Oryctolagus cuniculus: one gene and its partners. The main gene of each other region encodes a partner of the protein of the gene in region 4 in a complex. Links are inferred from orthologs where the notes say so. Each region holds a gene or a part of one and is shown on either strand. Other genes may lie near its edges.

Region 1 (4,060 bases), on a different chromosome or scaffold from region 4:
ACAAACTAAACATACCCACCGTTACCTTTCATTGTTTGCCCCTCAATGTGGTCAGAGGAGTCCCCTAAGTTGGCTCCTTGGCCCTTTTTGTATGACCCTCATTAGTCTTGGAGCAGTTTGCTGCTTTCTGGCCCCCAAATTATTCCAGGCTCGACTTATCCTTTTCTTGACTTAAAGCTGGTATCCACCATTTCTCTAAGGAGCTCTGGATCCTTTATCTGTGTATTTATTTATGTTTAGATTTACTTATCTGGAAGGTTGAGTTACAGAGAGGAAGAGAGAGAGGGAGCTCTTTTGTCTATTGTTTCATTCTCCAAACGGCTGCAACAGCCAGGGCTGTGAAGCCAGGAGCCAGGAGCCAGGAGCCAGGAACTCCATCCAGGTTTCCCAAGTGGATGGTAGGGGTCCATTCATTTGGGCTATCTTCCACTGCTTTCCCAGGTACAGTATCAGGGAACTGGATCAGAAGTGGAGCAGCAAGGACTTGCTGGCTTTGGAAGCTGCAGCTTAACCTGCTGTGCCACAATGCTGGCCCCTAGTTCTGTCCTCCCCTCCCCTCCCCTCCCCTCCCCTCCCCTCCCCTCCCCTCCCCTCCCCTCCCCTCCCCTCCCCTCCCCTTCCCTTCCCTTTCCTTTTTCTCTCTTTCTTTCTCTCTTTCTTTCTCTCTCTCCTTCCTTCCTTCCTTCCTTCCTTCCTTCCTTCCTTCCTTCCACACAGAGAGAGTAGAGGCAGAGAGAAACAGAGAGAGAGAGGTCCTCCATCCGATGGCTGACTCCCCAAATGGCCGCAATGGCCGGAGCTGTGCTGATCTGAAGCCAGGAACCAGGAGCTTCTTCTGGGTCTCCCATGTGGGTGCAGGGGCCCAAGAACTTGGGCCATCTTTTGCTGCTTTCCCGGGCCATCGTAGAGAGCTGGACAGGAAGTGGAGCAGCCGGGTCTCGAACCGGCGCGCATACGGCATGCCAGCACTTCAGGCCAGGGCGTTAACCCCTGGCCTCTAGTTCGTTCATTCGTTTGTTCGTTCGTTCTTTCTTTCTTTCTTTCTTTTTTTTTTTTTTTTTTTTTTTTTTTATTTGACAGGTAGAGTTATAGACAGTGAGAGGGAGAGACAGAGAGAAAGGTCTTTCTTCCGTTGATTCACTCCTGAAATGGCCGCTACAGCTGGCGCTGCGCCGATCCGAAGCCAGGAGCCAGGTGCTTCTCCTGGTCTCCCATGCGGGTGCAGGACCCAAGCACTTGGGCCATCCTCCCTCTGCCCTCCCGGGCCACAGCAGAGAGCTGGACCAGAAGAGGAGCAACCGGGACTAGAACGCGGCGCCCATATGGGATGCTAGCACCACAGGTGGAGGATTAACCAAGTGAGCCACGGCGCCGGCCCCCTAGTTCTTTCTTTAAATTTCAAACTTAAACTTATGTAACTGAGATACTTCCTATTACTAGTCTCTGTTGGTTATTTTTAGTAGTAAGCATTAAAATCAATCCATATGCAAGTGTTTGTGAGGCAACTGTAACACTAGTGTCTTCCTGGGTGGGCGCAGCCCAGCCCAGCCCTGGGAAACGTGGCTGGCTGTGTCGTGTGAGCGTGGGCCATCCGCCAGTAGTCCAGGTGACCTGGAGCTTTTCTGGGTGGAACTTGATTAAATAGAAGCAAAGCTCTCTGTGCATTTGCCCTGGGGCATCCCTAGCCTGAGCCATAATCATAGACAGCTTGGTGCTTATAATGAAATCCTTCTGTGTGTTGTAGAAACTCCAATAGCAAAAATGATCGAAGGAACCGGAAGTTTAAGGAAGCCGAGCGGCTCTTCAGTAAATCCTCGGTGACGTCGGCAGCTGTAAGTGGAGGCCGGCTGTTGTGGGGCGGCCGCCTTCTCTCTCCCTTCCTTCCCTGTCCCTCCTGAGTGCCCTCCTGAGGCCTGTGGTCACTTTTCTAGTAACTGGTGGCTTCTCTTTCAGGCAGTGAGTGCGTTGGCAGGAGTTCAGGACCAGCTCATTGAAAAGAGTAAGTTTATTTTTTGACTGTGTTCATCAGTGTGTTTTTAAGCTTCCATGGCCCCTGATTTTGGTTCACCTCCCACTGTGATCTAAGGACTGCATCTCCTGTGCTCTCCCTCCTTCTAGAAGCTGGGAAGCTTTTGGGTATCCTGAATCATTTTTGCTTTTGAGGAAGAAACCACTGTGTCTTCCTGCCTCTTCGGTCACGTTCAGGTCGGTTTAGCAGCTCAAAGTTATGTCTCTGCTCCTGGCAAGTCTTTTATATTTCTGAGGGAACTTTTTTCCTAGCAATAAGAGGAAAACTTTTATGGAGCATTTCACACACACCTAATAAATCCGGATGTACCCAGCGGAGGGGGGAGTTCTGATCCTGTAAACAGAGTGTATCTGCGTGCTGTTGAGTGTAAGATGGAGAGTAGGCGCTGTGCACGTGGTGAGCAGTGATGATGTTTCCGTGTGTGGCTGTGCAGCCTGATTCTGTTTGCTTGCCAGTGATGGGACAGAGATCTGTACATTGGTCTTTCCGAGTCAGACTCTGTAAAGCTCTGCTGGTGTTATCCCGGGTTGCCTGTTTTTGAGACACAGCCTCCTTTTTAGTATTGTGCCTGTGTGCTTCCTCCAGATGGTGTATTTTGTGGGATCCAGTTTTTTTGCAATGGGGCACTAGTTTGAGGAAAAGGAATCTTAGTAGTTTGGGAGTTAGAACTACACAGTGACTTCAGTTATGGTCTCTGTATACAGATTTCTAAAATTGTTGCTCTGCCCCTAACCTCTTTGTTTTCTTCTAGACATTTCTACTCAGATGTTCCAATGCAAACATTTTGTCTAAAATAAACATTGTATTTCCTTTAAAATTCATGTGCCCAGTTTTTGGTTCCATTCTTCCTCCATTACAACGTTAGAGTCATTTTTGATACCTTTTTGCCAGCCTAGTCAGTTGTACTGAGTCCTTTTGATTTTCCTTTACGGTGACTCTTATGCTCAGTTAGTGCCACTTCTAGAATGCAGAGCTGCGTCATCTCCCCGGGTTGAGCCACACCCTTGGAACGCATCATGTCAGTATTCCTTGGTTGTTGCTGAGTTGTACTGAGTGTAGAAGGTGGCCTGTATGTTAGTAATAGCGGGCTACAGGCCTCTGTGTCAGCACTAGTTATCATCCCCTTTTGGAACAGTTTTTTTATGCAACTTGTTTGATTTTTTTATTGAAATCTTTTTCTTTTAAATATTTATTTATTTGAAAGTCAGAGTTAGAGGGAGAGACAGAGAGAAAGAGGTCTTCCATCTGCTGATTCACTCCCCAAATGGCCACGATGGCTGGAACTGGGCTGATCCGAGGCCAGGAGCCAGGAGCTTCTTCTAGATCTCCCTTGTGGGTGCAGGGGCCCAAGGACTTGGGCCATCTTCTGCTTTCCCAGGTGATAGCAGAGAGCTGGATTGGGAGAGGAGCAGCCGGGACTAGATCCATCGCCCAAGTGGGATGCCAGCGCTGCAGGCGGGGGATTAACCCTACTGCGCCACAGCTCCGGCCCCATCCCTCGGCAGTTTCTTAATCACTATGCCACACACCTGCCCTTCTAGCTATTTTGAAAAATACAATATATTATTGTTCATTAAAGTCACCCTACTGTTCAGTAGAACACTAGAATTTATTCCTGCCATCTGTCACTTTGTATGCGTTGTCACAGCTCTTCCTATCTCCCTTCCTTTCCTCGCCTTTGGTAACCACAGTTCTACTTTCTATTCCTGAGATTAACTTTTTAGATTCTACAAATGAGTGAGACTCATGTAGTGTATATTTGTTTTGTGCCTGGCTTATGTAACATTTCACTTAACATAATGTTGGGTTCATCACTATTGCTGAAAATGAGTTTCATTCTATTTAATGGCTGAATAGTATTTCACTGGACTATTTTTTTTTAAAGATTTATTTATTTGAAAGGCAACAGAGAGAGAGGAGAGATCTCCCTTTTGTTGGTTTACTCCCCAAATGCCAGCGGCTAGACTGAAGCCAGGAGCCGGGAACTTCATCTGGGTGTCCTATGTGGGTGGCAGGATCGCAAGTACTTGA
Region 2 (4,060 bases), on a different chromosome or scaffold from region 4:
TATTTGGGATACTCAGCTGCTATAATTGTTTTTAACTCTTTTGGCTTAGTTTTAGACTTTAAATGGAAATCATAATTTAAGTTATAACTTCAAATAATAGATTCTGGATCAGTGGTTCTTTTTTTGACAGGCAGAGTTAGACAGTGAGAGAGAGAGACAGAGAGAAAGGTCTTCCTTCCATTTGTTCACCCTCCAAATGGCCGCTACGGCCAGTGCGCTGCGCTGATCCGAAGCCAGGAGCCAGGTGCTTCCTCCTGGTCTCCCATGTGGGTGCAGGGCTCAAGTACTTGGGCCATCCTCCACTGCCTTCCCAGGGCCACAGCAGAGAGCTGGACTGGAAGAGGAGCAACCAGGACAGAATCTGGTGCCCCAACCGGGACTAGAACCCAGGGTGCCGGCGCTGCAGGCGGAGGATTAGCCAAGTGAGCCGCAGCGCCGGCTGGATCAGTGGTTCTTAACCACAGCTGTACAAAAGAATCACCCTGGGCCTTTAAAAATGCCAATGCCAGGGACTCAACCCGAACCTATTTAATCCTAACAGGGGAATGTGAGGGTGCACCTGTCTTAAGTTTTAAGTTTCCCAGGGAATTCTGATGCGTACTGAGAAATAAGAATCTTTCTTCTAGATCCATACAAATAGTTCCAGGTGAGAGGGAAAAGAGAGAATAAAGTACTATCAAGAAGAGAAAGAGTACAAAAAGAAAACTGAACATAAACTTCGCCTTCTTGGGCTGTGTTGAATGAGTCTGACCAGAAAGTAACTTTGATAAATATTCTTCTAACTCAGCTAGGATATAGTTTCACAAATAAAGTAGTAGCAGATTCAAAATGACAATCTTGACAGCAAACCACATTAAAAAACAAACAAAAAAAAAGGTGACCTGATAAGAGAACACAAATTTATGTTGAAATGACTAGTATCTCTCTCCTCAGTCAACATCCAGATACACACATACAATGTCTAAATGAATATGGCAGAGGCCGCCTTCTACTGTATTTCTGTACTGTGAGTCCTACTCTCTTACCTTTCTAATGGTCGCAACACATATTGTAGAAAGATTTAATGGGTCTATAGCTTCCAATTTCATTCCTTCTTTGAACCATTCCCCACTCAGGTCTACTTCTTTTACCTAAAGAATCATATGAAAGCACATCTACTATTATAAACATTGTCATTTTAATGATTACAATGCAAAAAATTTGAAAAGGTTTACCAGATGCCTTCTCCTACCTACCTAGTATTCTAATTCAAATTTTTCATTAGGAAATAAACTTCAGACACACAGACAGATTTTAAGAATAATTAGAATAAAAGTGTGACACCTATGGATTATAAGGTCTTAATCCTTTTAAGTGAACACAAGTGATTTCCAAAATTTTAGGAAAAAACCCACAACCCTCTTTCAAAACTAATTTACAAATGAGGGTTCTTATAAAAACTTCTTACCTTAGCAAATAAATGTGGTGGTGTATCAAAATGTCCATCCTGTTTCTTTGTAATATCTACAAGGAAAAGTTACATACTAATCTGTCAGCATTTGTGAGAAGACCAAAAAACCACGTTTCTTTGAAGGCTTCAAACTCACAAGGTATGTAATACTCTAAAAACATGGCAAAAAGACAAGCCTTCTACATTTATGGTGAATAAGATTCTTTAATAGTCTTTTATCTCTTCAGGCTACATGTGCATATGCTAGGAAATACATTTCAGCCAATCAGAATGCTGATAATCCCAACAGTTAGGGAATTACAACTTTAGAGGTATGTTTTAATGTGTTTAGTATCAAGTCTAACCACATCTAATCCTGTTATTTTGATTACAAACTTGAATGGAAAGGGAAAGGCCATCTTTAGATCTTTCTAAAAGGCCAGATAAGAAAGATTATGGAGACCATCACAGCCTTGGACCACAGCACATTACTTTTTTTGAATGAGAACAAGTGGAAGGAATGTAAAGGAAATAGGACATTAACATGGAGCGAACCTTTCAATAATTAAAGTTGAACAAACAGCTCAAACAGCTAGAATGCTGCTTTTAATCTATGCTATTCTGCAGAGAAAAATAGTCAAACAGCATAATTCAGCCTCAATGATCCTTAAATAGGAAATTCTTGTAATAGATGCTTACCAGATCTTTTGAATCGATGGCCTATGCTTCGAGACCAACCGATATGATGGATCAATGGGCTGTGCATGTGGCACCAGAAGTCATCTGTTCTGTCTTCACTCTCTTCATACACAAGCCTTAATCTTCCGCCAATTACACTTTCCACTACTGCCACTCGCGTTCGACACAAATGCCTCTTGTCAACCACTTCTACTCTCATGCAAGGTTTGAAAGGATATTGCATACTCTCTGAAACCTTGAAACAAAAGCAGACAACACCTGTTTGGAACTCATGACAAAGGCCCACAAGTAGTTTAATACTGTACTTTAAAAATGCTGAATGTACTCGATATTTAATGTAGATCATCCAGTTGATGAGGAAATCCTTAGACATGCTCTAAATTACCCTCTTTTTGAGAGCTCTTCAGTCCTTTATCAGATCCTATTTTTACCTTTTGTGAGAAGTCAGGAGGAAGGGTTTTGGCACCAGTCAGTCTTTTCACTAGAAAAGCTTTCCAGTTTGTATACTTATGTTGAATAGCTAAAACAAAAGAAATAACTAGTTTACACTTTAGCAAAAAGTAGAACTGATTCATAAATTATTTGTTATTTCTCTGCAAGTAAGATTATCAGTTAGGATCTTGAAAAGTAACAAAAAAAAAAAAAAAAAAAAAAGAGAAAACAAGAATATCATTTAGTGGTAAAGTCCCTGACAATCAAAAATATTTTAATACTTAGTATTACTGTGTGTGAAATAGTCTTTAAGTACATATATTTAAAATTATAGTAAGGTTAATTTTGCGTTTAAAAATTTTTATTTATTTATTTATTTGAAAGGCAGAGAGACAGAGGGAGAGGGAAGAAATGGAGGGAGACAGACTGATTTCCCAGCTGCTGGTTTACTTCTCAAAAGCCTGCAATGGCTAGGGCTGTGCTAGGCCTAAGCCAGGAGCTGGGAACTCAGTCTACATTTCTCACATGGGTAGCAGGCACTCAATCATCTGAGCCATCACAACCTGCCTCCCATGGTCCACAGCAGAAAACTGGAGTTGGGAACAGACCTGGGGCTCAAGTCCAGGAACTCTGATATGGGATGTAGGCATCCCAAGTGCTGGTTTAGCCACTGGGCCAAACACTTGCCCCTAGGGTCATTTTCCAAAGTTACTTACTTCTAGGGGGAACAAGAGGTTTTCCACTGGCCGCACACCAACCAACTGGATGTATATCAGAACCACATATATTGCACCAGAAGTCCAGACCCGAGTCATTTTCAAATCCTTCATATCTTAAAAGCGCATTATAACCTGAAACCAACAAATTATTACATAATTAAGAAAATAAAGTTGAAATAAAATTATGTAGCATCTGGTAGTGGAGTCCAACTTTCATTGGCATCTGCAATAGAATGACCAGCAGAGTTAAAAAAAAGACAGATGGCTGTGGCCTGTCCTAGATATTCTGGCTTAGTAGACTGTGGACGGGCCTAAGAATCTGCATTGCTAACATGTGCCCAGATGACGGATGCTGCTGCTGCTGGTGGTGGTGGTGGTCCAGAGACTACACTTTGAGAATCATTTATTAGATGTAATTTGTTTAACTGTACTGAGTGTGGCTTCCTCCTCTGAATGGATTTCAATTTTACTCATAATTTCTCAAATTCTAGAAAGAAATTCCTCAGTGAAAACAGGGTAGAATGGTTCTCTAATGTTTAGTTCTGATAATAACAGAGAAGACTGTGACAAGTTAGTAAAACCTTGTGAAGTCATAGAAATCCAGGTGTAGTATATGTCAAAGAAATGACTTTATCTAGCTAACTAGGTGGCCATTAACTCTTGGATAATATGAATGTGATGACTTCAAGTATCTACATTTTTTATTCTATTTATTATGGAATAAGATTTGAAAATTCTAAACAAGTTCCATAAACATAAAAGTAGGTGAATTTATGATTAG
Region 3 (4,060 bases), on a different chromosome or scaffold from region 4:
CCATTTATGTGTTGCTCCGCACGTTTCTCCTGGATCCTTCACCAGTTTCCTTCCTGGACTCCAGGAGGAGCAAAACAATATCTAAGAAATAGGCCGGCTTTGCTATCTAAGAAGTAAGCTAACATAGTGATATAAAATGTTAACAGTTTTCAAAAAGTGAAATTCACAACACCCTCAGAGACCCAGATCAAGATGTTGATTTCAAGAGGGCAAAAATATTTGGAACTTTATTCATATTGGCTTCCAGTTATCACTGACTTTTTAATTAAAGCACAGCACCAGCAGAGTTCAACAACAAAAAGTGCTTTCATTATAAAAAGTTTTCTATAAAAGCTTGTCAATGAATGTAAATGTACTATCTTTCTAAATACGTGATGACCCAACCTTCCAAAAATGATCCATTTTTTAAAACTTGCTGACCATTCCTATTAGAAAATCAAGTGTGAGGCAACAGACTCAAAATTAGGAAATGAAAAAGTCTAAATCAGAAATAGATTGGCAGAAGTATCTAATGAAATAAGGATCTTCAGGTTTAAAGAGTTGGCTTTTTTAAAATATAGGGGTAAATATTAGTTACGAACATTCAGGACAGCATTAATTCTTGTGGATTTTCAAGCTTTGATATAACACATTTCTGCTATGTGGAAATGGTTATGTGGCTAGACAGCTACTTTTATATCAATATTTAGGAATCATCATATGAATAAAACTCTTCTCTGTGAATCTCACATCTGTGAATTGCAAACAAAGTAGGAAAAGGAATTTATCAAAGGCCAGACACCAGCTAAATACATTCGTAACACACACACACACACACACACACAACAAGAAAACCAGCAGTAAAGGCTTTCTAATAAGTTGCTTTTTTGCCCTTGCAGCCCTAGAACTTAGTTTAGCTCAAGTATAGGAATCTGTGCAGGCACTAAGAACTTAAGAGTTTTTCTTGAATATTAATGATTTTTTGATACATTCAGACCATGGTGGAATTTGTAACAAAAATTTGCTAGTTATATCAAGAAAAGGCGTTCTGAGGGACAGTGAAAGATTTCTTTGGTGAGTTAACAAATGCAAATCACATAGCTTGATGACGTGATACTCTTAATAACTAAGCAGTAAGCAATAGCAATAAACTAGCTGACAGTATTTTGAAAACTTAAACTTTAGATTGAGGAAATTTGCATGATTATAGATTCCCTGGGATCCAGGGATGCATGATAAACTTTTTTGGTTTAAAATAATTCTTACTCAAACATCATAGGCTTCTTAAAGAAGCCTTCCTAATCCATTTGTATTGTGATTGTATGTGCTTTTTTTTTTCCTTTTTTTTTTTAATTGGCAAAAAAGAAAAGAAAAAGGTTTCCTTTTTAAAAACTGCACACACTTTTTTGGGGGGTAATAAATGAACATTTTTTTGTTTGTTTTTTTTAGAACTGAGCTCTCCATAGACAAACATAAGTAGCATAACACAGTGTCTTTCCTCAGACATCATTCTGTACAGTAAATCAACATAAACAACTCCGTTCTTATTGACTGGATTTTTTCCAGGTGGGTTAATTGGGTGGGGAAAATTAATTAAACTTAACATTGGAACCTCTTTTCTTCCTGCTAAACTTAAAGGATGAATTCTTTAAAAAGAAAGTAATAAACCAACAACCTTCTCTTTCATATAGAGGAAATTTTTGTAAATGACTAAAATGAGAAAATAAGTAGAACAGTTAGTGTTTATACACAAAACTGTTAGGGCCCACCTGAATGAATTGAGAAGGTAATATGGATAAAATGGAAACCAGCTGGCAATTAACAGATTTCTTCAAGCTCAGTGCAAAGTTGAATTCCAAATCTGTGGATTAAAAAGCTGATATTACCTTCTACATTGTCCAGTACAAGTGTCACAGCTTTGCAAAACTAATGGTGTCAATACTTGGGAAGTGAGCAGTTCTCTTTCCTGTGTTTAAGAGAGTCTAATTTTCTATAAATTCAAGCCACTCGTGTTAAATGTGGTAGCAGAAGTGCTGGCATTTTCATTTGGGCAGCGATCATTAGCAGGATGATGAACCTTTGTCAGAGGCTTTAATTTTGCACACACAAAAAATGTTAATGCTGCCTTTGTTTTGGTATCATAAGAGGTGTATGATATTTGTGCATTTGTATAAAACGTTTCCTCATTTTATGTTCAGCATTTACAGCCGAACAATACCAGCAACATCAACAGCAACTGGCACTAATGCAGAAACAGCAGCTTGCACAGATTCAGCAACAGCAAGCAAATAGTAATTCCTCCACCAACACATCACAGGTGAGGGGTTTGTCTGTCTTATGATTAGCCCTCATTGTTGCCCACCAGAGTTCACCTCTAGTTACCAACTGTTGTCATAGAACCTTGCACCTAACCAGCAGAAAAGTGGCTTTCGCCTGAATATACAGGGTTTAGAAAGAACTTCACAGGTGAGTATGGAAGCTGTCGCCTCTGCTCCCTACTTGTAAAAGTAAAATAAAACATGAAGTGAAATGAGATGGAGACACTGTGTTCAAATCATAATTTCTCCATCCAGTGCATTAGCTTATCTAACCTTCCCAGAGGTGCCTTTGGGTGTGTGTGTGTGTGTTGAAAGAAGTGACACACTCCTTTATATGTATTTGCAACGCTCTGAACTAGTTGACTAGCACATTTCTGGTCCAGCATTTTGTGATGGAGCTTTACTATTTCCCCTTATAAAGGCTTATTTGGTGATGGTTGTATACAGATTATTTGTTGAATAACGTTTGAGTTAAAGATTAGTTTTTCATTCCTGAAATGTATCACTATCAAAAGAGATGAAGAGATCTTAGTGGTTTGCCATTTTCATTTATAGTCAAGCTGACTGTGTTGCACCTGCATGTCGTTAATGCCAGCCTGAGGCTAAGCGATGCTGATTGATCGCCCATACGTTCTCTGTTCAGGGTTTTGTTTCCAAGACTTTGGATTCTGCTAGTGCTCAGTTTGCTGCTTCTGCTTTGGTGACATCAGAACAGCTGATGGGGTTCAAGATGAAGGATGATGTGGTGCTCGGAATTGGGGTGAACGGCGTCCTTCCAGCCTCAGGTAGGACGGGCACGTCCGAGTGGTCTTGGTTCTGTGTGTAGCGTGCATCTGTAATACAGCGAACGTGAATGTGGCTTAGATGCTTTCTTTTTCTCTCCAGGAGTATACAAGGGCTTACACCTCAGTAGTACGACACCAACAGCACTTGTGCATACCAGTCCATCGACAGCAGGCTCGACCTTGTTACAGCCTTCCAATAGTACACAGACTTCAAGTTCCCACAGTGCACTGAGTCATCAAGTAACTGCTGCCAATTCTGCGACAACTCAGGTTCTGATTGGGAACAACATTCGATTAACTGTACCTTCATCAGTTGCCACTGTAAACTCTATTGCCCCAATAAACGCACGACACATACCTAGGACTTTAAGTGCTGTTCCGTCATCTGCCTTAAAGCTGGCTGCCGCAGCAAACTGTCAAGTTTCCAAGGTTCCGTCTTCATCCTCTGTAGATCCAGTTCCAAGGTGAGTAGGTACTTTAAGGCTAAAGTGTTTGAAAGGTATGAGGGGTGGGCACTGTGGGCCAGCAGGTTAAGCCACTGCTTGGGACACCTGCATCCCACGTCAGAGCTGGTTCTCATCCCAGGAGCTCCACCTCAGATCCAGCTTCCTGCTTATGTGCCTGGGAAGGCAGCAGATGCTGGCCCAAGGACTCAGGTCCCTGCTACTCATGTGGAACACCCAGATGGAGTTCCAGATTCCTGGCTTTGGCCTGGCTTGGCCCTGGCTTATTAGGGGCATTTTGGGAGTGAAACAGCAAATGGGGCCAATGCTGCAGCTCACTAGGCTAATCCTCCTCCTGCAGCGCCGGCACACCGGGTTCTGGTCCCGGTTGGGCGCCAGATTCTGTCCCAGTTGCTCTTCCAGGCCAGCTCTCTGCTGTGGCCCGGGAGGGCAGTGGAGGATGGCCCAGGTCCTTGGGCCCTGCACCTGCATGGGAGACCAGGGGGAAGCACCTGGCTCCTGGCTTCAGATCGGC
Region 4 (4,060 bases):
GAAGACAGCAAAGTATTGCACAAGAGGAAGGAGCTGGGCTGCAGGGAGAGAACAGCAAATGGAAAGAAGCCTTCTGATTGTCCTGATGTCATGGAAAACAACTGTCAGGAGGTGCTAGGGAACTAGTGCCAGGGTCAGTCTGCAGGAAAGGCCTTTCTTATAGGGACCAGCAGCTGGACAGGTATGTTAGCCCAGAACCTCACTATCCACCGCCCTTTTACTTTCCCACCTTTCTTTCAGTCTTCCTTTCCTTTACACATGATTTGGACCTGGGTGGGATGACTATTCATCACTCTGTGGGACCCCAGGTGAATTTCAAGGACTGTGTGGTGGGCAAGAGCAGGATACTGTCCTACATTTCTTCTTAAAAACTACCACGTGTTCTTTAGCCACTCTCTGGGAAGACAGAAATACACCCCTCATAACTCTGGATTTTTCTGCTGATTCTTTCCCTTTTACCCCCAAGAAATCAAATCCCCAACCTTGTTGTACTTTGTTAGCGGCTAACCAGCTCACTCATTTTCACTCATGCTCCATTTCTTTTTCTGTTGTCATGTAGGATGGAGGAACCAGGGGACGCCGCTGTGCCATTGAAGCAGATATGAAGATGAAAAAGTAAAGCCTGAAAGTATCCTCTTTGAGCTGACTCTGAAATAGAAGTAAACAAGATAAAGCTTGGGCTTGCAGGCCCAGTTCCAGAAGTGGAAGTTACAGAAGAGGAGTGCCTGGGCCACATGACATAAGCTGGGAAAATCTCTCTCAGAGAGTTGAAGTAGCACAATTGTCTGTTTTAGGGCAAAAATCATGGGCTGTGTTAATGTCCTAATGTGTAGCTAACAGATTGTAGCTAGTTTGTACTGTCTGTGAAGTGTACAGATTTTTTTAAAATAAACCTGTGAAGTGTATGTGTATACAATAAATGTAAAAGAAAAAATGCTAGCCTTTGGTGTGTGCTTTTTGTGTGTATATTTGAAAATTTTGTTTCTTCCTACATTATTTGTGAAAATATTATTAGAGGATAAAGTGACTTTATAATGTGAATTGCCTACTTAATTGAGAGACGGTGAGTAAACAGGATTGAATTTATAATTACTGTTTTGAGATATTGTTCAACAATAACTTAGTTATTCAGCTTTTGAATGAGAAAACAAGTTTTTTAGAGTTGAATTCATAGCACTTTTAAAAGAAGATTCAAGCATGCTACATGGGTAGCATTAACCTTTCTTTCAGGAAAATTTGTCCTACTTCAGACTATCTGTAGATCATACCTTTTTTTTTATTTTTATTTTTTAGGGGCTTATCTGTGTCTTAAGAGCCCCTGATTTATTTTTTATTTTTTATTTTTTTATTTTTTTTTTTTGACAGGCAGAGTGAACAGTGAGAGAGAGAGACAGAGAGAAAGGTCTTCCTTTGCCATTGGTTCACCCTCCAATGGCCGCCGCGGCTGGCGCACTGCGCTGATCCGATGGCAGGAGCCAGGTGCTTCTGGTCTCCCATGGGGTGCAGGGCCCAAGCACTTGGGCCATCCTCCACTGCACTCCCTGTGGGTAGGGCTCTTGTGAATAGAATTCTTTATATTGCTGTTGGAAGGCTAATCTCAGTTTAAGAATTAACAAATTTAGGCACTGAGTTCTATTCCAATTTTTGTTAACAACAAAAACTTTAGCTCATTAGTGATAATGAACTAATTATGAGCCTTTTTATTGTATAGAGATATTAATGGGGTGTTATCTAGACTCTGCATTGTTGAGAAAGTTTTAAGAAGATCATGATAATATTTTTTGGCCTTCAAAAGGAATTACAGCAGTTGTCAGGAAGTAGGAAATAATAGTCCTATTGTGGTGATGGAAAGAAATCAACCCAACAGTTAGAAAATGAAGTACCTATAATATTCGGTTGCCAAAGCTATCCACAAACAGGCATGTGATAAAAACACTGAAGCAATAAAAATTGCAGGTTTGTGGGGAAAGTCCATTAAAGGACATAGGTATTGCTTTAGAAAAGGGATGGATGTGCTTTGCAAGATGAGTTAATAGTGTTGCACATCCATGGTAGGAGCAATGAGATAAGAGAACAGTGATCATACTAAGGAATAGTGAGATATAACACCAGTCAAGAGGATAAAGTAGGACTAATTATGGAGGACTTTTAGTGGTAGACTAAGAACATGTTTGAGATGAAAGCTGTTCTTAAGCCTTGACACTTGGCAGAGAGCAGGTTGAAGTAAAGATTGTTTAACTCTTAAGGAGCCTGACATTTCCCCAGAAACAAAGGATGATGACAGAAAATTGTGAAAAAATTGCTGACTTTAAGAATAATTTTGAGTTGCGTAGACTAAGAAAATAGTGTTGGTGATAGGGATAAAGAAATTGAGAGCAAATTAGGAAGAATATTGATTTTAGTTATAAAAATGCTGAGTTGAAGCAGATAGTAGGATTTCAAAAGAGAATTTGCTTTCAGATGCGTGGAGAAATGAGATCAGAATGTATAAAAGGTTGAGAGATTTGATAGAGTACAAAGTTGAAACAGTATGCATATATGTGTACATTGTGTGTATACACAATGACAAGAAACAGGAAATCATCTTCATAGAGGTCAAAGTTGAAACTTAAAAAATGCTTTATTTTTTAGAGGAAGTGTTAAGGAAGCTGGACTATGCAAGGAAATAGAAGACCAAAGTTTATTGAAAGTCAAAAGGGATTGGAGAAAGTTGTAAGAGAATCAGAATAGGGTAGTTAAGAAAGCAAGGGAAGGTATTTTTGAAACTTGAGGATCTCGTTTTGAGAAGTGATAGTGGATTTGACGATAAGGATGCCAAAGGTAATATCAAAGTGTATTTTCAGTATGTAATGGTAAACAGCTTAAAAAAACAAGGAAAGTATCCCGTGTTCCTTTTAAGTTTATTGCCTTGCAACTGAGTTTATGGGTGATTGGGGGATAGAGGAAGTCTGTTAAGCTAGCTATGCTCTAGCTCTTTCCCTTTTGGAGTATAAGGAAATAATAGTTATTGGGTAATACATTGTACTGCACTGTACAGTATAACATCTTTATTTTATTAAAATGGGACTTCTTTATTCCTAAAGATCATGTCATCTCCCAGCATTTTTCTTCTGCTATGTTTTATACTTCTTGATGAGACATTTCTGATATTTATCTTTCTACTGAACTTAGGAGATTGAGGTCCCTGGGAATATGAATTGGAATGATTTTAATGCTCTTTTTTTTCTGTGTATTTACAGATGGGGCATGAGTGGGTTTGGTTGGATTCTGTACAAGACTATCCCAGTGACTCTGAGTTGAGCAACTACTACAGGTCCCTCTTCAGCTCATGGGACTCCAGTCTGGATCTTGATGTGGGCAGCTGGAGGGAAACTGAGGATCCAGGGGCTGAGGAACTAGAAGAAAGCAGCCCAAGGAGAGAACCTAGTGAGCTGCTTGCAGGGGATGAAGGCAGTGAGGAATCTCAGAGAGAGGCAGAGCAAGTGAACCGCCAGAACCTCCTCCACTTTCTTTCTGAGGTAATGGTGAGCTGCTACTTCCAAAGCTGGGAGAACCTCCACTTTCTAAGAGAATGTTTACCCTCACATGTTTCTAATGCTCTTAATATTGTTTACTAAAATAGGAGACTCACATTGACAGAAATGATTTAATATTGTATCCCTGGCACTTGGTGCTGATACAGAGTATGCACCAAGTGCATTCTTTAAAAATATATTTATTTATTTATTTGAAACGCAAAATGACAGGAAGGGAGAGAGAGATCTTCCATCCACTGGTCCACTCATGTTCTCAACAGCCAGGTCTGAGCCAGGCAGAAGCCTGGAACCAGGAACTCCATTCAGGTCCGACATGGGTGACAAGAGTCCAAATACTTAGGCCACCTGCTGCTGCTTTCCTCCATATGCATTAGCAGGAAAATGGATTGGAAGTAGGGCAGCTAGAACTTGAATCAGCACTCCAGTGTGGGATGCTGACATTGCAAGTGGCAGCTGAAACTGCTGTGCCATAGGGTAAGCTCCCAAATTTTTGACATTGTTTCAAGATTCCAGTCATTAGGGGC
Region 5 (4,590 bases), on a different chromosome or scaffold from region 4:
TGGAGAAACCTCACCCCTGGCTCCTCACCTGCGCACTGCCACGCGGGTGCCCAGTCCACACTTCACGCGGAGGGGTGCGTAGGCAGCTGCCGCCTCTCAAACTCCCTGCACGCAGGCCAGGGCCGCCCCCCCTCGCGCTCCAGTCTCAAGTTAGCCTTATCTCCCAGCTGAGCCTGCTCCCGTCCCTGCGTTCCTGCCGCCTCCCCCCTCCTCTGTCCCTCTGAGCCCCACTCCACTCCTGGGTCCCCTCCCCGCCTCCCCTGCCCTCACAGAACCCGAGTTCTCAGGAGCTCTGTCTGCCGTGCCCTGCCAGAGCCCACCTACGGCGGAGGTCAAGGCCGATCACGGGGCTGGCCTTGGCACGGCGGGTTAAGCCGTCTCCTGCAACACCCGGCTGCTCTGCTTCCACCCCAGCTCCCTGCTGTGGCCCGGGAAAGCAGCGCAAGATGGTTCAAGCGCTCGGGCCCCTGCACCCGTGCGGGGACCCGGATGGAGCCCCAGGCTCCTGGCCCAGCCCCGGCCTCGTGGTCATTTGGGGCGTGAACCAGCGGATGCCACGCTCTAACTTTGCTTTTCAAATAAACAAACCTTTCTTAACACCACGGGCTGAACAAGCTGCCGGCTGGGCAGGCCAGTGTGCCCCCGAGCAAGCAGCAGCCGCCCGCTGCCCGCGGCCACTGACCTTGTTCTTGCGCCCGTCGATCTCGAAGAAGGAGATGGTGCCCTTGCGGTAGATCTCGTTGCCAGGGGGGTGGCGTAGGTCGCACTTGGTCTGAGGAGGAGAGGAGGGTCAGGGGCGGGCGCTCCTGGACTCCGGGGGGGCGCGGGGGCGCTCCTGGACTCTGGGGGGCGGGGCGGGTGCTCCTGGACTCTGGGGGGCGCAGGGGCGGGCGCTCCTGGACTTTGGGGGGCGGGGCGGGTGCTCCTGGACTCTGGGGCGCAGGGCGGGCGCTCCTGGGCTCCGCCTACCAGGTGGCGCTGCAGGCACTTGAGGCTGCGGCCGTACTTGAGGCAGAACTCGCACAGGTAGAGGACCGGCAGCGCGGTGAGCTCCTGCGGGTACGGGGAGAAGTACCACGGCTTGAGGCGGTGCCGGCCCAGCTCGATGCACTCGATGTTCTTCATCCGAGTGACGATGTCGTCGTGGCTCCGGTCGGACACCAGGCTGCCAGTCATGCGCGGAGCCGACGGGATGCCATCGGAGCTGTCCTGGGAGTCCTGCCGGGGCCGGGGGAGACGGCACGTTACAGGAGCCACGCGCCGCCCGTCTGCGACCCCGGGGCAGCTGCTGTGACCCCACTTCTCAGAGACCAGGCCCAGCCCCCGCCCACCCGCCTCACGGCCCCTCCCCACCCAGCCCCCAGACCCACCTCGTCCGTGCCCAAGCAGTTTGACTTCCGCTTCCGCCCTGGCTGCGCTGCCACCGCCCTACGGGCTGACCCATTCTGTGAAGAGACGGCGGGAATGCGGGGGGCTGTGAGCTGAGCCGGAGACGCCGGCGGGGGCAGGGCAGGCAGGGCAGTGAGACGAGACGGCTCGGGCCTACCTGGGGGAACACGGAGGCCGGGGCCGTCTCGCTGGGCACGGGAGTCGCTGGCGACACCACCTCCACCTTCCGTTTCTGCAGAGGGAAACCGAGGCCGGTGGGTGAGAAGGTAGGGAAGGGGGACCTGAGAGGAAAGAAGGTCCCTGAAGTGCTGAGGGTACCGTGGAGCGGTGGCCGGGCTGCAGGCAGGAGCTGGAGGACAGCGGCGGGTCGGGCTCACCACCGGGAATGGCCTCCCGCTCCTTGGGCAGGTTGAAGCGGAGCGTGATCTGGACCGGGATTGGCAAGGTCTTCCCGCTGGCCTGGGCGGAGGCCGGCTGCAGAGATAGGTCCAGGGTCTTCCTCTGGGGTGGGGAGGCGCAGGGGACGAGGGGCCCCCTCGGCGTGGAGTGACTGAGCCCCGCCCGCTGCCTTCTCAAGGACTGGCCACTGGACCGGAAGCTACATCTGCAACCTGGCCCCATGCTTTGCAAGCTGGAGTCGGGGCGGGGGGTGCTGCCTCCTGCCCAGCCAGGAGCCCCCTAAGGCCGAGAGACGAGAAGAGTAGGAGGCAGGAGAGGTGGAGTGGGGCCCTACTCACCACCTCTCTCTCGGGAGATCCGGGGCGGGACCCAGGCAGTCCGTTCTTGGTCGGGGTCTTGGCCTCTTTCTTGGGGAACTGGATTTTCTTTAGGTCCAGCCGCTCGTGGGTCACCCATTCATCCAGGCGTTTGTTGACTGCAGCGGTGGGCATGGCTCAGGACGGAATGCCAGAGGCTGCCCCCGCCCCGCGCCCGCCCCGCAGCCCCACCTCAGCCAGGCCCAGGACTCACAGTCAATGTAATGGACGTAGAAGAGCTTCCGGCCACTAATGTCCTTCACGCTCAGGATCTCGGCCAGGGCTATGGGAACGGCACAGGCAGAGGCCTTAGACGGGCAGGGCCCCGAGACGCCACCCTCCTAGGACCCGAGCCCCACCCCTCGGCCGGATCCCCGCGCCCCAGCACTGCGCAGCTCGCGCCCAAGCCCCCTTCAGACACCAAGTGCAACCCACTCTCCAGGCCCCGCCCTGTCCAGGTCGGAACGGCTAGAAGCCACGCCCCTCCTTTGGAGCGCCAGCGCCCCGCCCGCACCAGCATTCTAGAAGCCCCGCCCCATTCGGCTGACTCCCTCCCGCCTCGTATTTCTTAGCCCCGCCCCCCGACGTCACTCACGCCACTCATCTTCGTTGTCCTGGTTCCGCCGCAGCACAGGTAGGCGGCAGCCCTCGATTATCTCCCCCTGGGGAGACAGCGCGGCGCCAGGGTCGGCTACTGTGGGGCCGCGGGCTCTACCCACCTCCCCTGGTTCCCTCCGCCCCGCCCCGGGCACCGGACTCACCACCTCCGCCATCTTCCCTCCCTCTACTGCCACTTCCGGCCCCTCTGGGAGACGTCACTTCCGGGATCGCGAACGCTGCAGACCCGGGCCCTCTGAGCCTGTTTAGTAAAGGACCCTTGAGGGACACCGCCGCCCGGCTGGAAGCGGGGAGCTAGCCCTTTTGGCCGGCGCGAAAATGGGGTGCTCGGAGCCTCGGGCCAGGTCTTGGGTGGAACCTCCACAACGTGCGCCGCGATTGGAGGAAAACTGAGTCCGTCACGTGACGCCCACCGGGTGCGACGCCGGTCACGTGGCTGCGGCGCGGGTCACGTGGGACTAGTGTTTGGGCTCGGACGGGCGGCCGCGTTCGGGAGTCTCCTAGTGGCGGCGGGAGGCGTCGCCCGGCGCCGGGTGCGCGTGCTGGGCGCGGGGCGGGCCTGAGGGCGGGCGGTGGGCGTGGCCAAGTTGGACAAGTGGGCGGGAGTAGCGGGACGGCTGCGGGGCCGAGTTCGAGGCGCGGGGGCGCGGGTGTCTAACCTCGTACCCCGAGTTCCTGGTTGAGAACCGGTGTGTGCGTTATTTTTGCGGCCTGTAGACGTGCGGTGAGTTCCCGCCGTGTGCCGGGCTCCACTGCCGGCCCTGGAGCGCGTGGGGGCGAGCGGACAGACCCCTCCCCTGGCGGAGCTCGCGTTCCTGGAAGTTGCGGGGAGGGGAGGGTTAATGGCCGCGGTTGCCTCTGTTTCAGGGCTAAGTGTTGGGGAACCCCGAAAACCCGAGCAGGGTGGTCAGGCGCGGGCGGTCGGGCTGGAGTAGCCGGGCAGCGCTGGCTGAAAGCTTAACTATTGGAAAGAAGGCTTGAAGGGACCCAGAGAAAGTTCCAGACGCACAGGCCGTCCCGCGGGGGCAGCCGCGCCGCGCTGCACGCGCTGGCCCGTGTCTGGTGGACAGGCAGACGGGTGTGGGCCTGGCGTGTCCCGCGGCCCGTGGGCCCCCACAGAACACCAGACGCCGGAGTGAGGGGCAGGGTTACTGTGGGGGGGGCCCTGGCGCGCAGAGCAGCGGCCTGTGGCGAACGGGTCCTCCGGGGCCGTGCGGAGGGAGGACGTGGCCGGCCAGGCCCCTCAGCGTGGGCTGGAGCTGACCCTGCGGCTGGGCCTTGGGAAGCCCGCGCTCGGCTGAGCCGGGCTGGGCTTAGGAAGACGGCGCCGTTTTACTACACCCCGCCTTGGTCTTTGTGAAGCTGCTAAGAAGGAAGAGAGAGAGGAAGAGGTCTGGAGACGAGGGAGGGCCACGTGTTCGCGAGCAGGTCCTGTTGGAACTCCGCCGGGCAGGCCGGGAAGCAGGGGCAGCGGCTCCCATGGGGACGCGCGGCGCTGACAGCGCGGCTGGGCCTTGGGGCCCCCTGGCTGCGGGGGCTGGGGCCGAGCATGGTGTCTGGACTGCGCCCTTGACCAGCACCCGTGCTGTTGATGTGTTAAAGCGGTTGGGGGGACAAAACAGTATTTCTTAACAGGAGAAGTTGTTTGAAGTTTAAATTTCATTGCCCATAAAGGATGTTTTTAAAGATTTATTTATTTGAAGGTTACAGAGGCAGAGAGAGAGTCTTCCATCCGCTGGTTCACTCCTTAATTGGCCACAATGGCCAGCGCTGGGCCAGTCTGAAGCAGGAGCCAGGAGCTTCTTCCAGGTCTCCCACGTGGGTGCAG
Region 6 (4,060 bases), on a different chromosome or scaffold from region 4:
GGGTCCTACCAGCACATTTGCATTTATGCAGTCCACAGTCCACTTGACTGAAATTTGTAGACCTGTTCTCTACTAACTGTCCTTCTCATTTTCCTTTCTGCTGTTCATCCCCAGCATTTTTAGCACCACTTCCTAAATCTTGAATTCATGTTAGTTCTCCATGGACTGCATAATTTTCAGACAGGGTTCAGCAGATGGCACACTTTCTGACTCGCAGCACGAGTGAGAATATCTTTACCCGTCCTACGCATGGGAACAACTTCTCTGCATACCAAGTTTTGGGTGCTCTCAATTTTTCCCTAAAAGTCCTAGACATACTCTATCACCTTTTAGCTTTCTACTGGTACAAAAGACAAACCAGGAGTCATTTTGATTTTGTTCTTTTGTAGGTAACGTACTTTTATTGCTAGGGTATTTACAAGATACTCTTTCCTTAATTATAGATACTAACAAAAAGGTTTGTCAGGTAATAGTGGAAGAGCTAGAAAACTTAATTTTTTTTTTTTTTTTTTTAGTGGCTGGTGCTGTGGTGTAGTAGTTTTAGCCTCTCTAGTCGTTACAGCCATTTGGAGAGTGAATCAGTGGATGAAAGACCATTTTTTTTTAGCTACATCATAAAACATAATAAATTGTCATTAGATTTAAAGTTTAAATGTGAATAAACTGAGCCTATCAAGAACTAGACAAAACTATACAAACAAAAGAAAATGAAAAAAATGTATCAGAGGACAAGGTAACAGGAGAGGAAGGCTTTCTAAACATCTCATTAATGGGTGACTTCTAAAGAAAAAGAATGATAGCCATAATTAAATAAAACTGAAATATTAAAATTAAAAAAACAAAACAAAAGCAAAATATTAATAAATTATCTAATAAAAACAATAGAAAAATAAGTCAACACCATTAGCAATCAACTCATTAAAAATGTCAACAGAAGTATAATCTTAATACTTCGGCTGGCGCCGCGGCTCAATAGGCTAACCCTCTGCCTTGCGGCGCCGGCACACCGGGTTCTAGTCCCGGTCAGGGCGCCGGATTCTGTCCCGGTTGCCCCTCTTCCAGGCCAGCCCTCTGCTATGGCCCGGGAGTGCAGTGGAGGATGGCCCAAGTGCTTGGGCCCTGCACCCCATGGGAGACCAGAATAAGCACCTGGCTCCTGCCTTCAGATCAGCACGGTGTGCCGGCTGCAGCGGCCATTGGAGAGTGAAACAACGACAAAAAGGAAGACCTTTCTCTCTGTCTCTCTCACTGTCCACTCTGCCTGTCAAAAATTTTTAAAAAATAAATAAATAAAAAATACTAACATAAATTATGTGACATAAATGTATGAGACAAATAAGTTTTTAACAGAATATCTAAATAGTGTTGCAAAGAGTTTAGAAAATAGGCATGCTGATTAGTTTCCAGTAATAAATTACTAGAATATATTTTGTCTGTATTAGATATTTATAACTCAATTTTATTTCTAATGGATTATCCTTGAATTCAATTGTATAAAATGAATTACATTTAAAAATAAAAATGTCTATCATAATGTTATTTACAAATTCAAAAACAAATCAAAATCACTAAAATGATCTATAGCTAGATATTGCTTCAATAAATTACAGTACATGATATAAGCGATAATCATGAGATTTCAAAAATGACCTTAAAGAAAAATTTTGTTTGATTACCTGATTTAGTTAAAAAAGCCAGGTACTAAAAAAGTCATTGTGGTTCCTACTGTTAAACTCACTATACGACATGTGTGTATATGTACATATGTGTTATAGAAGCAATGTTTGTGTCCCCCCAAAATTCATTTGAAGCCCTAAATCCCAATATGTATTTGCAGACAATACCTGTGAAGAGGTGGTGAAGGTCATAAGGTGGGGTTCTAATCTGATAGGGAAGGTGCCGTATCAAAAGACATTAGAGCTCACTCCCTCTTTCTGCAATGAGTCCACAGTGGAAGGCCACTGTCTGCAGACTAGGACGGGAGTCCTCACCAGGAACCAAATGAGCTGGCACCTTTGACCTTGGACTTTCCAGTCACCAGCTAATACATATAACTGGTGTCTGGTAGTGGTACACCGAAATATTTAATTTCAGGTTATATCTAAGGACTATCCTCTTATTTTTAGCAAACTTCTGACTTTTATAAGGGGGATAAAAATATATCAATTAAAGCAAGGGTAACTTTTAACTAGAGTAAAAAGAGTGCTTAAAAAATGAAACACTTCCAGGGCTGGTGCTGTGGCACAGTGGGTAAAGCCATCTGCTATGCCAGCGCCCCATACTGGCCCCAGTTTGTGTCCTGGCAGCTTCACTTCTGACCCAGCTCCCTGCTAATGGCCTGAGAAAAGCATGGAAGATGGCCCAAGTGTTTGGGCCCCTGTCACCCATTTGAGAGACTTAGATGAAGCTTCTGGATCCTGGCTCAGTCTTGCCCAGCTCTGGCCATTACAACCATCTGGGGAGTGAACCAGCAGATGAAAGTTTGACCTCTCTCTCTCCCCCTCTCTGTTACTCCATCAAATAAGGAAATAAATCTTAAAAAATAAAAAAAGAGACACATCTTTCTAATTCATTTAGATTATGCTTCCATAGACACGGATCAGACTCTTACCTGATTACAAATGCAGTATCGAGGTTCATTTGGGTCATAAGTCCAATCAACCTGACTGTTTGAATCAGACTCTGGCACTACCGTTGTTTGTTGAGAGATTTCTTGTACAACAGTTGATGACGAAGAACACGATGACAAGGAAGAAGAGGAGGAAGACGAGGAGGACTGCTGGCTTGAAGACTTGTTGTTGTTCCTGAAAAAGTATTACCAGTCTTATTTGCCCATCATCATTATCATCATCATCATCATCATCATCATCATCAATTACCTGAGAATAACTCCTAAATAAGTGGTATCAAAAGAAATGGCATCAATGTACGAATGTATGTCTAACATTAAGCTAAAGTCATCTGATTTAAAAGCACACTTACTTAGAGCAACAAAAAATAACACTTTTGTAAACTATATTTATTTATTTATTTTTGACAGGCAGAGTGCACAGTGAGAGAGAGAGAGAGAGAGAAAGGTCTTCCTTTTCTTTTGGTTCACCCCCCACAATGGCTGCTGCAGTCGGTGCGCTGCGGCCGGCACACAGCGCTGATCCGAAGCCAGGAGCCTGGTGCCTCTCCTGGTCTCCCATGCGGGTGCAGGGTCCAAGGACTTGGGTCATCCTCCACTGCAGAGAGCTGGACTGGAAGAGGAGCAACCGGGACAGAATCCGGCGCCCCAACCAGGAATAGAACTCGGGGTGCTGGCGCTGCAGGTGGAAAATTAGCCTAGTGAGCCAGGGCACCGGCCACTTTTTTTTTTTTTTTTTTTTTTTTTGACAGGCAGAGTTAGACAGTGAGAGAGAGAGACAGAGAGAAAGGCTTTCCTTTTCCATTGGTTCACCCACCAAATGGCCTCTGCGCCAATCTGAAGCCAGGAGCCAGGTGCTTCCTCCTGGTCTCCCATGTGGATGCAGGGCCCAAGCACATGGGCCATCCTCCACTGCCTTCCCAGGCCAAAGCAGAGAGCTGGACTAGAAGAGGAGCAACCGGGACAGAATATGGCACCCCAACTGGGTCTAGAACTCGGGGTGCTGGCGCCGCAGGCAGAGGATTAGCCAAGCGAGCTGTGGCACCGGCCCCAAAAAATAACTTTTATAATGGTTTAGTTTTACTCAGAATTTTTTGGTTTTTTTTTTGGGAAAAAAAAGTACTCCAAAAAATCCTTTTAAAAAGAAATCAAAGATTTTAAAATAATTAAAATCAAAGTTACCACTTACTGTTGACTTATATTATAGGCAGTACTTTTAAGAATTAATATTAGTTATGGCTACCTTACAGATATTCTCTGTATTTTTAAGCAGACTGAATATGATTCATCAAAACATAAAGAATACAAATACACAAAAGTAGTAAATGAAAACTATGACTATCAAGCAACATGTGAATACTTACTGTGGATAGGACAGGGAACCAAGAGTGTTAAATTCCAAAACTGTTTGGCATCAAAATAAACACATCT
Region 7 (4,715 bases), on a different chromosome or scaffold from region 4:
CTTATATATTCACATCACCATAATATTTTATTTGGGGTAGGGAGGGGGAGCAAGGGAAGAGCTTATTGCTGCTTTAAAAAAATTTGAGAAATGAAACTACCATCAGGGCTGGCATTATGGTGCAGCAGGTAAAGCCACCATCTACAGTGCTGGCATCTCATATGAGTACTGGTTCAAGTCCTGGCTGCTCCACTTCCAATCCAGCTCCCTGCTAATGCACACAGGAGGGCAACAGAGGATGTCCCAAGACTTTGGGCCCCTGTACCCATGTGGGAGGCCTGAAGGAAGCTCCTGGCTCCTGGCTTCAGCCTGGCTCAGCACTGACAGTGGCAGCCATCTAGGGAGTGAACCAGCAGATGCAAGATCTCTCTCTGCCTCTCCCTCTCTGTCTGTAAGCCCTTCTGCCTTTCAAATAAATAAATAAATCTTTAACAACAACAACAACAACAACAAAACTCTATACCATCTGTAACTGTCACAGGTAAGCCATTTAACCAGTCAAGGGATGTTACAAGTGTATTATTCGGCTAGTATTCTAAGAGGACCTTGCTGTTTGAGAACAGACTAAACTGAAGGACAGCCATGACAAAGGAATATAATAATTGGATATCATGTCTAGGTCTAAGACCCTCTTCAAATTATCAACCTACAGAAACACGAAATACTTGTCACCCTACCTCTCCTTACACTTACTATCAATGCCTGGCTGAGGCCTCTAGGCTTATCAGTTCTCAGTTTAATGCTAAAGACAGTCCTGACCATCAAAGGACAAGAATGCTTGGGACCACTGGTCACAGCAACACATTTGGTATCTTGACTGCATTTAACTTTCAACACTAATTCTTCTATATAGAAATAAAGAGGTGGCCCTTTGGCTGGTGCCGTGGCTCAACAGGCTAATTCTCCGCCTAGCGGCACCGGCACACCAGGTTCTAGTCCCGGTCGGGGCGCTGGATTCTGTCCCGGTTGCCCCTCTTCCAGGTCAGCTCTCTGCTATTGCCCGGGAGCGCAGTGGAGGATGGCCCAAGTGCTTGGGCCCTGCACCCCATGGGAGACCAGGAGAAGCACCTGGCTCCTGCCTTCGGATCAGTGTGCTGCGCCAGCCGCAGCACGCTGGCCGTGGCAGCCACTGGAGGGTCAACCAACAGCAAAGGAAGACCTTTCTCTCTGTCTCTCTCTCTCTCCACTCTGCTTGTCAAAAAAAAAAAAAAAAAAAAGGTGGTCCTTTTAGAAACCTAATGAATCATGGGATTTCCCATAAGGTAAGTGGGTCAGCAGGTCACAATGTCCCAGAATTCCAGAACCTGGCATAACAGAGCTGGGAGGGCCTTCCCAGATCATTTCAGTCTTGTCGCTTCATCAGACAACATGGGGTATTGAGGGTCCGAATGGGCAAAGCCCAGACCCTACTTGTAACCTCCTTTTTCCATTAACTCATTTGTAGCTGTGAAAGGAAAAATAGAATAGAAAGGGCAAGACTAGAGAGACTAGAGTATTATCACTTATTAGCTCCAGAGGCTCACTTCTTCGACTTCCTGAACTGAGACTCAAGGCTAAAGGTAATCTTCATCAGAGGAAACTGTTCCTATAATGACTATTCAGTCCTGAACCTCTTCCTTGTCTGTCTTTTGACTGATACCCAGGTTCAATTATCATAGTCCCCATAGGAAGGGGATAGCCAAATCTTGGCAGCAGGATCATATTACAAAAATAAAATGGTCATGCCAAGCTCCACATCCTATAAATTTAGGGTTTCCTCCACTAGAGTTTCTTTGTGAATTCCTTAGACTTATACTTCCTTTAGCCCTAGCTGGTATCATCATTTCATTGACCTAAGCTGCAGGTTGGTTCTTTCAGAAAGAAGAAAATGCGGTTTCTCATTAATTATCATTTTTTCTATATTTATAATTAATTATATCTTATAATTATAATCCACTATTCTAATGAAATGTACTACACTGATTTTGGAGTTCAACCTTTCCTATCCTATTTCATTAAGATTTCAAATTCCAGGTATATAACCCTCTTCATCCAGGGCCCTCAAGAGACAAGAACAACAGATTATGGAAATGAATCCATTATCTTCTTTCTGCTACTTATGTAACCTCTCTAATATCTTAGTGGTGGATTCATGTTTAGGGTAAATGATTAAAGAGAGAGAGGAAAGGTAAAAACAAATTGCTATAGCTTTAAGATGTCACTGATTCCATCCGGATGGTATTCCTCAAGCAAGAAATATCCAGTGAGGACTGCAGCTACAAAATTGTCTCCATTTCCTCCCTTTGTCTTTCTGTGGGGTACGGGTGGGTGCACACTGCCTCTATGACATCTTCCAACCAAATGAACAATTTTACATGTGGACATAAGCACATTTGGCCATAATGTCAAAATTCTGGTTTGAAGAACCAATAAGCAAATTTCTTCTGTTTTTAGAGGAGGGGTTGGGGAGGGGAAGAATCAGGAAGGGAGAGTACATGAGTCCACAAGATAATGAGAAGGCTAGGGTTTGGGGAAAGCTAAGGTTAGAACTATCTGGGTTTTGCTTGATTATTCATTTTGCTTTGTGTTTTCAGAAGTCAGTGTTCTCTCATGAGTTCTTCCTCTCAAAATTGAAAACTTTTAATGTTTTCCCTTCGCATATAGGTGGAGGACCAGTCCTTGAGACCAGCTTTCACCTGCAGGTGCGTCATCTCCCTTGGATTCATTCACAAATTATGGTGGAGTAGCTACCACAATAGGAACTGTGCTAAACACACAGTATACACAGTTAAGAAGAAACTTAGCACTTAGCCTCATAGATCTTGTATTCTAGCAGGGAAGACAGACTTGGACTAAGTTCCTGGATGATAGTGAGATGGAGAAAACGGGGTGGGGGGGTGTTGTGGAAATACGTAAGAGGGACACTGACCTACTCGTGGCCCAAGTTGGGGAGGGAATGTCTAGAAAGGCTTCCCTGAGGCAGACACATTTCAGATGTGACCTGAAAGAAAAGGAAGAAGCAAAGCAGCAGGAAGGACCAAGGAGACAAAGGAGAAGGAAAGTGCGAAGTGTAACAGAGCTTTGAAGAGGGAAGTGGTATAAAAGATTCTCATCTGAAAAAAAAAATCTGACCGCAGTGTGGAGAACAGATTGTAGGGAAACCACAGTAGGTCAGCAGGTGAAAACAGTGGTGTCTTGCAAGGAGGCGTGTCACAGGTGCTGAGGGAACAGAAAGCAAAAGCACTTAACTAGAGGCTGGGCATCAGGGAAGGGCTCCGTAAGGAAGTAACATTCCAAGTGAGACTTGCAGGCTGGGTTCGCCATGGTGAGGGAAGTGAGGGAGTGAGGAGTGAAGAGAGGCCCGGACACTAACCTTCTCCTTTAACCAAAGCAGGTCTCATTTTCACTAAGGACCTCGTCCTGGTCTGGAATGCCTGGTACCTTTTCTTCCTAGCCAAACAGTGCCTATGTTTCTACAGCCCTCCCCAGTGCCAGGTCCACTGATGACACCCCAATACGACTTACTGTTCCTGCTTATAAATTTCTATTCCATACGTATTGCTAAGCATTAAAGATCTACTATTCAGGGTAGTTACTTAACTTCACACAGATTCACATGTAAGCTACTTGGATTTGCAAACTCTTTTCTATTACTTTAGCATCATCCAGGGTATCTAGCACAATGAGGGACTGTGTGACACAGTCATTGAATGAATGAATGAATGAATGAGGCACTAGAGTCTCTGCAGACCTCCTTTAGATATTCACTATTATCCGTGAAGCTAATAGGAAAGGGATGTACTTTGTGTAAAAGATTCCTACAACTTGCATGCGAAGACCTGAGATCTGAAATTGACTATTCCTTCCCACTGGTCACTGCTTCTCACCCCCTTGCAATCCTGGTCCCCACCCCGCCCCCCCAACCTTCTATTGTTTCTTCTGTCTTCTGGTTGTCAGCCAGGATGAGAAAATGGTCAAGCTGTCCTCAGAGACTTACGCCAGCCTGGGCTGCTCTGCAGTGCCATGAAGGGCCAGGACTTTTGTTTACAGCTGGGAGCATGGCGAGGCGGTGAGCACAGCTGACAGCCCCACTCTGGGGCAAACATCAATCTTCCTCTGTCCTCTCAGCCAAGTCTCACAGACCAGCTTTATTGAAAGCTGGCTGCACCCGCCTGGGCTCACTGATGTCCCACCCACAACTCGAGCCTGGGAGTAGCTGGGTGAATCTCAGCTTTGTACCTTTTAGGAACTGCCCTTGCTCTCCTCTCTGTCCCTGTTTGCAAATCGGCTTATCTCAACCTCTGGGCCTCGAAAGAGCATGTTCTGAGGACCTCTTGCCCTAAACAGTGCCCCTCCTCTCCAACCATATCTGCTATCTCCCAACAATGTACCAAAGCTCTCATTTGCTCAATTACACAGTAAAAACACAACCGCCACCAAACCCAGAACTAAACCACACAGCTTTCAATGTATACTCTTTGGAATCTGTCTTTCCAAGCTGAGCGGCCATATTGCAGGTTTTTGAAAGTGTGTGCATATGTGTGTGTGTGTTTTCTTCGCCTTCAGATGGATTTCCCACTTTTTTCAAAACTACAAATCAGTTGGGGCCTGGAGCTTCCACCATACTACTCATGAGGCCCTAAGTGACAAAGAGGTCCTCTTTGTCACATACGCTGCTCCCGGGCATCTCCTCCTTAGCAGCTTTTCCCTCTTCAGTGTTCCTACGCGCTGAGAAT

Evidence for each region.
Region 1: BRD8 (region 4) and MEAF6 share a complex: the UniProt entries of both Homo sapiens proteins name them as parts of the nuA4 histone acetyltransferase complex. The link is inferred for Oryctolagus cuniculus from reciprocal best matches to the Homo sapiens genes BRD8 and MEAF6.
Region 2: BRD8 (region 4) and MBTD1 share a complex: the UniProt entries of both Homo sapiens proteins name them as parts of the nuA4 histone acetyltransferase complex. The link is inferred for Oryctolagus cuniculus from reciprocal best matches to the Homo sapiens genes BRD8 and MBTD1.
Region 3: BRD8 (region 4) and EPC1 share a complex: the UniProt entries of both Homo sapiens proteins name them as parts of the nuA4-related complex. The link is inferred for Oryctolagus cuniculus from reciprocal best matches to the Homo sapiens genes BRD8 and EPC1.
Region 5: BRD8 (region 4) and KAT5 share a complex: the UniProt entries of both Homo sapiens proteins name them as parts of the SWR1-like complex. The link is inferred for Oryctolagus cuniculus from reciprocal best matches to the Homo sapiens genes BRD8 and KAT5.
Region 6: BRD8 (region 4) and ING3 share a complex: the UniProt entries of both Homo sapiens proteins name them as parts of the SWR1-like complex. The link is inferred for Oryctolagus cuniculus from reciprocal best matches to the Homo sapiens genes BRD8 and ING3.
Region 7: BRD8 (region 4) and MORF4L2 share a complex: the UniProt entries of both Homo sapiens proteins name them as parts of the nuA4 histone acetyltransferase complex. The link is inferred for Oryctolagus cuniculus from reciprocal best matches to the Homo sapiens genes BRD8 and MORF4L2.

Annotation. Positions count from the first base shown.
Region 1 is NC_091438.1:135,249,238-135,253,297, forward strand, and holds part of MEAF6 (chromatin modification-related protein MEAF6), read left to right. Parts: intron 1-1,744; coding exon 1,745-1,832; intron 1,833-1,953; coding exon 1,954-1,999; intron 2,000-4,060.
Region 2 is NC_091448.1:27,007,812-27,011,871, forward strand, and holds part of MBTD1 (MBT domain-containing protein 1), read right to left. Parts: intron 3,412-4,060; coding exon 3,277-3,411; intron 2,649-3,276; coding exon 2,560-2,648; intron 2,364-2,559; coding exon 2,129-2,363; intron 1,504-2,128; coding exon 1,448-1,503; intron 1,131-1,447; coding exon 1,026-1,130; intron 1-1,025. UniProt on the Homo sapiens protein: Chromatin reader component of the NuA4 histone acetyltransferase complex, a multiprotein complex involved in transcriptional activation of select genes principally by acetylation of nucleosomal histones H4 and H2A.
Region 3 is NC_091444.1:102,670,015-102,674,074, reverse strand, and holds part of EPC1 (enhancer of polycomb homolog 1), read left to right. Parts: intron 1-2,177; coding exon 2,178-2,296; intron 2,297-2,940; coding exon 2,941-3,082; intron 3,083-3,182; coding exon 3,183-3,546; intron 3,547-4,060. UniProt on the Homo sapiens protein: Component of the NuA4 histone acetyltransferase (HAT) complex, a multiprotein complex involved in transcriptional activation of select genes principally by acetylation of nucleosomal histones H4 and H2A.
Region 4 is NC_091437.1:25,968,942-25,973,001, reverse strand, and holds part of BRD8 (bromodomain-containing protein 8), read left to right. Parts: intron 1-559; coding exon of another isoform or gene 560-619; exon of another isoform or gene 620-939; intron 940-3,239; coding exon 3,240-3,518; intron 3,519-4,060. UniProt on the Homo sapiens protein: May act as a coactivator during transcriptional activation by hormone-activated nuclear receptors (NR). Isoform 2 stimulates transcriptional activation by AR/DHTR, ESR1/NR3A1, RXRA/NR2B1 and THRB/ERBA2.
Region 5 is NC_091432.1:6,003,545-6,008,134, forward strand, and holds the start of KAT5 (histone acetyltransferase KAT5), read right to left. Parts: upstream 3,160-4,590; 5' UTR 2,918-3,159; coding exon 2,906-2,917; coding exon of another isoform or gene 2,807-2,905; coding exon 2,740-2,806; intron 2,428-2,739; coding exon 2,359-2,427; intron 2,264-2,358; coding exon 2,127-2,263; intron 1,864-2,126; coding exon 1,708-1,863; intron 1,622-1,707; coding exon 1,547-1,621; intron 1,446-1,546; coding exon 1,371-1,445; intron 1,219-1,370; coding exon 970-1,218; intron 773-969; coding exon 683-772; intron 1-682. UniProt on the Homo sapiens protein: Catalytic subunit of the NuA4 histone acetyltransferase complex, a multiprotein complex involved in transcriptional activation of select genes principally by acetylation of nucleosomal histones H2A and H4.
Region 6 is NC_091434.1:156,958,233-156,962,292, reverse strand, and holds part of ING3 (inhibitor of growth protein 3), read right to left. Parts: intron 3,309-4,060; exon of another isoform or gene 2,805-3,308; coding exon 2,612-2,804; intron 1-2,611. UniProt on the Homo sapiens protein: Component of the NuA4 histone acetyltransferase (HAT) complex which is involved in transcriptional activation of select genes principally by acetylation of nucleosomal histones H4 and H2A.
Region 7 is NC_091453.1:89,766,217-89,770,931, forward strand, and holds the start of MORF4L2 (mortality factor 4-like protein 2), read left to right. Parts: upstream 1-1,446; 5' UTR 1,447-1,559; intron 1,560-2,643; 5' UTR 2,644-2,681; intron 2,682-4,715. UniProt on the Homo sapiens protein: Component of the NuA4 histone acetyltransferase complex which is involved in transcriptional activation of select genes principally by acetylation of nucleosomal histone H4 and H2A.